Linked DNA regions of Nothobranchius furzeri. The protein of the gene in region 1 interacts with the protein of each later gene in a pairwise test. Links are inferred from orthologs where the notes say so. Each region holds a gene or a part of one and is shown on either strand. Other genes may lie near its edges.

Evidence for each region.
Region 2: the proteins of pld1b (region 1) and astrocytic phosphoprotein PEA-15 interact in a two-hybrid assay, tested with the Homo sapiens proteins (2 studies listed by BioGRID). The link is inferred for Nothobranchius furzeri from reciprocal best matches to the Homo sapiens genes PLD1 and PEA15.

What each region holds. Positions count from the first base shown.
Region 1 is NC_091747.1:63,413,774-63,417,590, reverse strand, and holds part of pld1b (phospholipase D1), read right to left. Parts: intron 2,878-3,817; coding exon 2,735-2,877; intron 2,665-2,734; coding exon 2,556-2,664; intron 2,483-2,555; coding exon 2,417-2,482; intron 2,263-2,416; coding exon 2,204-2,262; intron 1,855-2,203; coding exon 1,762-1,854; intron 1,433-1,761; coding exon 1,280-1,432; intron 1,213-1,279; coding exon 1,063-1,212; intron 1-1,062. UniProt on the Homo sapiens protein: Function as phospholipase selective for phosphatidylcholine. Implicated as a critical step in numerous cellular pathways, including signal transduction, membrane trafficking, and the regulation of mitosis.
Region 2 is NC_091742.1:81,270,830-81,275,419, forward strand, and holds the start of astrocytic phosphoprotein PEA-15, read right to left. Parts: upstream 2,890-4,590; 5' UTR 2,525-2,889; intron 1-2,524. UniProt on the Homo sapiens protein: Blocks Ras-mediated inhibition of integrin activation and modulates the ERK MAP kinase cascade. Inhibits RPS6KA3 activities by retaining it in the cytoplasm. Inhibits both TNFRSF6- and TNFRSF1A-mediated CASP8 activity and apoptosis.

The DNA.
Region 1 (3,817 bases):
GCGATCACTCCCAGAATCTCGTTTAATAAAACTGTAAAGAAGAAGGAAATCCTACAAACAGGAGGTCCAGCCTGGACATAATTCTGCTAGCTGGTTGCTATAGTTACTAGGGATGCTCCGATCTGATCAGGTGATTTTGAACGGACCAAAATCAGGTGGGAATAATCTGATTTAACCATTTAAAACAACAATCCATCCTGAGAAAGATTATAAAAGGCTTGGTTTTAATTCACCAGTGCTCTGTTTCACAGACAACCACACCGTAAAGCCCCACAAGTTAAGGTAGCTCGGGAGATAACAGGTCACACAGAGCACACTTGTGGCCTCTAGAGAGAGAGAGAGAACGTCTGTAAGTTGGAGGTATTTTAAAACAAGCAGCAAAAGGAGTGTAATAGACGCGTGTAATGTGTGCAAACTGGGCATTTACCACGATGGAACTGGTTTTGCCATGTTCAACGCTACAAAGCTGATGCACCACCTTAAAAAAACTCTTCCTGCTCAGTTTGCTGCAACAATGCGGATAAGCCCGTCGACACGAATAAAAGATGTGTCAAGAAATGAAAGTCTACGGACAGCAGCACCTCCCACCGGCGAGTGTCCGGTTGCAATCGCGGGTTCTGCAGTCTGCGTGGCTCACGGGAGGATCGGTGTTCTCTTCCTACCTTTACAGACGCAGCAGCTCTACAGGTGTTATGTTGAAAAGAGTGACCCTGTTGCTTACCGTCATGTGCCCTGCCATCCCTGTCACTCAATACAGCGCACGCTGAGTAAACTATTAGAAATGAGGCTACTCTTTGATTTGTTCTTCATATTAACACGTTCCTCATTAATATACTTCCTAAATAAGTGATGTTTTATGTTAGATAAACTAAAGAAACGACAGAAATACAAGAAATAAGCACATTAGTGATCAAAAGATTAAAGGACAACTCTGGTGTGTCCTTTTGTCTTAATGCATTTCTTAAGTATCGGATCGGGACTCGGGATCGGCAGACTCTTAAAAAAAAGACTTGGAATCGGATCGGGAGGAAAAAACCTGAGAGGAACCTCCCTAATTGTTACCATTTGGCAGGGATGTTCTTTTCCTCCATGGCGAAAGACCCGAAGCGGTGGTCCTTGAGGAAGGCGGCGCCGTGCTTCTTGGAAAAGCAGTCGATGGCCTGCCCCCACCAGCGGGCGTGTCTGTAGCTGGCACACTTCAGCACCAACGACCTGCACACACACAATGTTCAGCAGCGCTCCGTGTTTCCGGTGGGACCAAGAAAAACGCTGCACACACCTGGAGAGGCTGTCGATGCGGAGGCCATGTTTGGTTTCAGTGTCTTTGAAGTCCATCTTGATGCAGAACTCCTTATCGAACAGCATCACGAAGGAGATGGCGCCCGAGTCGAGCTTCATGTAGAGCAGGAAGGAATCCTTCACCACCAGCCAGCTGGACACGGAGACAACAGGTCCGTCATCACAGAGACAACAGGTCCGTCATCACAGAGACAACAGGTCCGTCATCACAGAGACAACAGGTCCGTCATCACGGAGACAACAGGTCCATCATCACAGAGACAACAGGTCCGTCATCACGGAGACAACAGGTCCATCATCAGATCAGCCTTAAAATGGGGCAAACTGTGGCTCTGAAGACCTGGACCATCGGAACTTGTGGTTCTGGTCCAATTAAAACAACGAAACCTGCCCTGTTTACCTCTCTAACAAAACAGTGCTTAATTTATGATGTAATGTTCTGGGTGGTCTGCATGGACTGACCGTTTGGACCAGCGGTAGCACATCTTGCTGTGACCAAAGCAGTTCATGCCGGGAATCCGATGTCCACCGGATCGTTTCTGCACCATTCCTTCTCTAGAAGACACGAGGAACACTCAGGGGGTGTGGCTAATACCCGGTTTATCTACCTCTACTCTTCTAGATTATATACATGTGTATACAATCAGTAGTACATTAAAAATGTTTACTCAGTAATAATATTTACTCTGAAGATCAAAACTTTCCATCAGCTCAGAAATCCTCAGACATGATTTCAAAAACATCACTGAGAGAGTTATGAGATTATATTTGAATAAAATCCTCATTTAACCAGATTATTTAATCTCTGTAGTTTTCCGTTATTTGATTAAAGTCAATAATTAACTTAAGTTTGTGCGTCAAATCTAAAACTGAAGGATGAGAAAATTTAACAGATTTTCCTTACAGTCCTTTAGGTCCGAGGTCATGGATGAAGGACAGCTGGCTGACGTCCATAAACTCCATCTGCAAACAGGGTGTGTGTGTGTGTGTGTGTGTGTGTGTGTGTGTGTGTGTGTAAATATAGAATATTTTACAGTTGAGGATGTTTGTTTTCTACAGTTTTAAGGATAAAAACATCAGAAAAGTATTTTTTTCTGTTTAAGGTTGTGGATCTTACGGTGGCGTAGTAGTTCCTGTACATCTGCATCTTCAGCAGCTTGTTCAAGTAATCTTCTAGTTGTTTCTGATCAGAAAACAAAAATAACGACTTCAACAGAAGCAACCCAACCCAAGCGGGTCTCTGATCAGACACCAACCCTGCGGCTGGCTACTTGTTCTTCTCTCCCCAGCTCCTCTGCTCTACCTCTGGGGAGGTTTGGCATCTGCCTCACCTCGCCTCTTGATATCGTCCTCCTCACCGTGTGACTGCAGAGATTAAATCAGTAAGGGGGTTGTTGGTTCGAAGCCCGGGACAGAAAACATGAAGACATTTTACCTGCGTGAAGGCAGCGGAATTCTCATGAAGGTCTTGTAGGTCCTCAGCTCTCTGTGGAGGTCCACAAAGTGTTTCTCCTTCTTCTTCACCTCCCAGGTGAACTCTCCATGCTTCAGCTCGATCTTGTAGACAGCCGGCATCGACTGCAGGAGGAGCAGTTAGTTAGCGGGTTACTGACCCGGTTAGTTTCTCTGCTGCTCGGGTTTCATCAAACAGGAGGCTGAAGGAGGCTCAATGCTAACAGCTAGTCCACACTAATAGCTAATCAACGCTAACAGCTAGTCAATGCTAATAGCTAATCAATGCTGACAGCTGGTCCATTCTAACAGCTAGTCAATGCCAATAGCTAGTCTGAACTAATGAGTAGTTAATGTTAACAGCTAGTCCATACTAATAGCTAATCAATGCTAACAGCTAGCCCATGCTAAGAGCTAGTCTGAACTAATGACTAGTCCATACTAATAGCTAATCAATGCTAACAACTAGTCAACGCTAATAGCTAGTCTGAACTAATGACTAGTCCATGTTAACAGCTAGTCCATACTAATAGCTAATCAACGCTAACAGCTAGTCAATGCTAATAGCTAGTCTGAACTAATGACTAGTCCATGTTAACAGCTAGTCCATACTAATAGCTAATCAACGCTAACAGCTAGTCAATGCTAATAGCTAGTCTGAACTAATGACTAGTCCATGTTAACAGCTAGTCTGAACTAGTGACTAGTCCATGTTAACAGCTAGTCCATACTAATAGCTAATCAATGCTAACAGCTAGTCAATGCTAATAGCTAGTCTGAACTAATGACTAGTCTATACTAATAGCTAATCAATGCTAACAACTAGTCCATGCTAACAGCTAGTCTGAACTAATGGCAAGTCAATGTTAACAGCTAGTCCGTATTAATAGCTAATCAATGCTAACAGCTTGTCCATTCTAACAGCTAGTCAATGCTAATAGCTAGTCTGAACTAATGACTAGTCCATGTTAACAGCTAGTCTGAACTAGTGAGTAGTCCATGTTAACAGCTAGTCCATACTAAAAGCTAATGAATGCTAACAACTAGTCCATGCTAACAGCTAGTC
Region 2 (4,590 bases), on another chromosome or scaffold:
CGTGAAAAATGGTATGCCCTCAGAGCTGCGCTCGCTTTATCAATTGTCCAAGTGCTTTTTGCTTGTTTGTTTTTGCAAGCGGAATTACTGCTCCTTGCGGAAGACCACAGATGAAGGACGAGGTTAAGAACGGGGGAAGTACTGCCGCCGACAGGTCTGGCATGTCCTTAACAACGTATTTATCCGGGTTCGTGTGGACAGTTTTTTTAAAACGAGGTGGTGTGGATGCAAGTTTTTGGAGGGGCGGATAATCTTTTTTAAAAAAACCCGGCTACGTGTGGACTAGGCCTCAGTCTCTAAAATATAAATATATGAGAACACAACATGACATGAGAATAATACTCGTAAAACAACGTGTTTTAGCTCCGTTTGTTGGCTACAGAAGCGCGTTTATAAACAAGAAACATGAAGTCGCCACCTTAAACAAACGGAAGGAGAAATTATTTGTGTGATATGCTTGTCAGCCACTAGATGGTGCTATCGGATTAGAGAAATACTCCGAAAAGAGGCTTTAAAAGGACATGAATGTCACCAAGCCACACACTTCTTTACATTTTTTTTTGGCCGAGTTTATTGGCACGGTAAAAATTATATCGGTGAGAGTTAGGAGTTTCAACAACGACACAGCCCTACCACTTTACAAAGAAATTCCAACAAAAACACTGAAACACCCGTATGGTCCTGCTTTATCTACATGAAGGACACATCATCATTCAAAGATAGATTATTCTAGAACTGGCTAAAGACTCTCCCAAAGCATATTTAGCACATTTATTTCTTTAACACTCAGTTACTGAACTTTTCAACAGCACCTGGATCTGGATAAACAGGACAAAGAAGAGACAGTAAAAACAGGCTGCTTCTGGTTGCCATGTCAACACTTGTCCAACTCTGAAGAGCACACAGATCCACCAAAAGCTGATGAAAACAAATAGGAGCTGGATGGTAATGTGAGTATGATGGAGTAACTCACCTGTTCAGGCTGGCTTCAGCGTGACCTTCATCACCACCCTCTCCTTATTCTGCTCTTTCTACTTATTCATCCAACGATTTCCCTCTTTCCTGTTCATTTTCTCTCTCCCTTTCCTTGCATTTTTTATCCAAAATTCTATTTATTTTTTGTCATTTTGAAACATGTTTTTAATCCTTTTTTAAAATATTCTTTATATTATAAATGTTTTGTTTTTGTGAAGCGTGATTTTTATCTTGAGAGGAGCTAAATAAAAGATCGTTTTCTTTCCTCTTTCTTTACTTCAATACAAAACCAACATAAACATAAATAAAACACACATTACTGGACTGGAAATAGAATATCAGGATTGGTCAGTAATGTCTGACATTTGGAGTTCCAGATTTCAGGTAATTTTAATAAACTGGAGCTCAGCTTTTGTTTTTTGCACCGTTCAAGACTTGCGTCAGTGTCGTAGATGTAATTCTAGTAATCTATGCTTGAATTAAATAGTCTGCTGCTCTCAATTAGCTGGATAGAGGCTGTTCTTGTGACTAAAAACAGAACGTTCGAAAACATTAACGATAAACTCAAAGAAGAAAAGGAATGGCTTTCTTTAAACCATGCCTTGTTTACTACTAATGAGCTTATTTTTCTTACTTCATTTGACAAAAGAAGAGAAATGTAGGAAGATTTGGTGATAGTAACAAGGAACCGGTAGAGGTAAAAAGCATCCGGTCATCTCCCACTGCTCCTGTACGGATACAGTTGGTCGTGCAGCTGCATCCATTCATAAAAAAACATCTTCACACACACACACACACACACACACACACACACACACACACACACACACACACACACACACACACCTAGCAATCACAGGTGGGTCACCAAAGGTTTCCCCAGACTGAACATTCATTTTGATGCACATCCAGAATATTCTATAAAATCTGCTCCACTGGACCCCAGGAGAGCCACACATCTCTCCCTAAACGACCCAAGAAAGCCAGTCCTTGCAGGCTGTTGTTATGTAACATGATTGTGATTTCAGCAGCAGAACATGGTCAGAGCCGCACTACCATGGAGATTCTGGGCAAATAAAGGACACTGGATACATGAATGCTGTCAGCCACTTTAATCCCAATCCAATTACTTTACCCACTGCTGTGTTAAAAGCCCCCCAGAGACGGGACCATTCACAAACCAGCCTCTAATAAACGAAAAAGGCAACTACCTGAGCCACTTATCATCTGACGAAAATCACTTTACTTTAATTTGACTCGATAAATAAGTCATTGGAGTTTAAAATCGTTGCAACAGTACTAGATGCTAGAACAAAGCAGGAAAGCTCCGTTTTCCACGGCGGCTGTGAAGTATCCTCTAACGGTCGCCATGTAACGGTATGCACTGAGGGAAGAGACCGTCTCCGTGAATGGAGGAGTCGGTGTGACTCCCAGCATGAATGAGGAGAGTAGGCTGAGAGCGGATTCGTGCCATAAAGTAAAATAACAGACTACGGGAGGTCTGGGACGTCCAGGGGTGGAGAAACATGGAGGAAACAGATTTACTCACCCTAACACGCTAGGATTGGGTCAGCTAACAGGGAGATGAGGTGGGAATCAGCGGGAAGATAGTTTCCTCTCGGTCTTCTGGGAGCCAGATGTCGGTGTGGAGCCGCGGGGACAGACGTGGTTCTGAAGGTCCACCCCGGTTCTCAGTCACGCCTGGAGCGCTTTTTGCGTCTTCGTGTGGTGAACGTGAGTGAGTTTCTCAGAGTTCGTGAAGGAGACGCGGGTCAGGGCGGCTGGCAGCCGGAGTTCGGGGATGGTGACACTGAGGGTTCGGGCTAGTCGTGGTTCCGCTGAGAGTCCGAGTGCTGCTGCGCTGTCTGCTGCTGCTCTGAGACCGGCTGCTGCTGGAACCTGGAACGTGGAAACGCCTCTCTCTCTCTCTCTCTCTCTCTCTCTCTCTCTCTCTCTCTCTCTCTCTCTCTCTCTCTCTCTCTCTCTCTCTCACGGTAAAGCACGCTGTCTGACTCTGTTCAGAGATTGTCTATTAAAAAAAAACTCGCTCTGAAATTGTCTTGCTAATTATATTTGTTATAAATATTTGCTTGCAGCATTTCAAGGAGACTTATTACGAATAGTTAGATCCTGATAGTTCTAGGGTATGAAAATCAAACTTTAATCTTTAAAACATGTTCAAGTTTTTGCTCAAAATCCCTATTACATAAAGCAGTTTCAGTTTCTTGACAATTTCAGTACTTTCCAGAATGAGTCATTTCAGGACTCTGTCACTCTCCCCTACTTCACACTGGAAGCATCAGTGGCGTGCAACAGCAGCAGACGTCACTGGTTTAAATGGAGTCCAGACTATCATGGTGATTCAAACCATGACGTCTCAAGGGATTTTGTGATCTCACGGGTTCAGCGAGGAGCACAGCCCAGAAGAAGCTCCACAGCTGAGATTCTCCCGATGTGTACTGGCTATATATATATATATATATATATATATATATATATATATATATATATATATATATATATATATATATATATATATATAATCTCTTAATGTATAATTTTAAACAAAACGGGAGGTTTGCACCACCTCCCTCAGAGCTCCACAGGTGACCATCATGACCACAGCCTTGCATGGCAGCCAGACAGCTGCATGGCTCAGCTGCCCTGGGAAACAGGAGCAGCCAGCCGCCAGTTCCCAGCCAGAACACAGAAAACGCTGTTCACCCGCGCAAGTTTTTTTATCCAGCCAGCGTCCCTACTAGGACGTTAGTCCAAGCAGTGTTATGTTAAATGCACAGCATTTTCCCCCATTCCACCAGTGGAATAAAGTACAGAATTGTCATTTCATTTGCTGATAAAATGAAGCAGACTTCTTGGATGATCTCTGATTGCATTCAATACCACAGCTTGCCCTATTTAAAGTTAAAGTCCCAATAGTCATCACACACTGGTGAAATTCAAATTCATCTCCGCATCAGACTCATCCCTGTGGGGAGCAGCTGCAGCTGTACATGCGCTCGGGAACTATTTGGTAGTTTAACACCCCAATCCAACCTCTTTAAAGTTGATTGTCACGTAGGGAGGCCCTGAGTCCCATTTTTAAAGTCTTTGGAATGACCCAACCAGGATTTGAACCCTGAGCTCCCAGAGCGGACACTCTACCACCAGGCCACTGAGAAGGTGTCCAAATAATTCCAAAAGTCTCAGGCTGAGGCCGCTTCCACACCAGCCATTCGGATCTAGGCTATTTTTTTTTTCAGAAATGTAATTTAAAAAAGAGATTTTTACTATGACATGTTTAATGGTAAACTACAGTCTTCTGCAGAAGTGTCACCAGGTGTTGGTGTCTTCATCAGCGTTTTGTGTCCTGCACTTGTCAGCTCTGCCAAGTTGGCCATGCCCACAAATGCTGGTTGGTCTTCAAAGGTGCTTCCCGTGACTGTTTTGACTGTCATGGAAATGTTCAAAAGACAAATAAAAGAAACAGAGTAGGAACTCTTTTCGAAATTGTGTCTGATACCAGACACACACACACACACACACACACACACACACACACACACACACACACACACACACACACACACACACACACACACACACACACACACACAC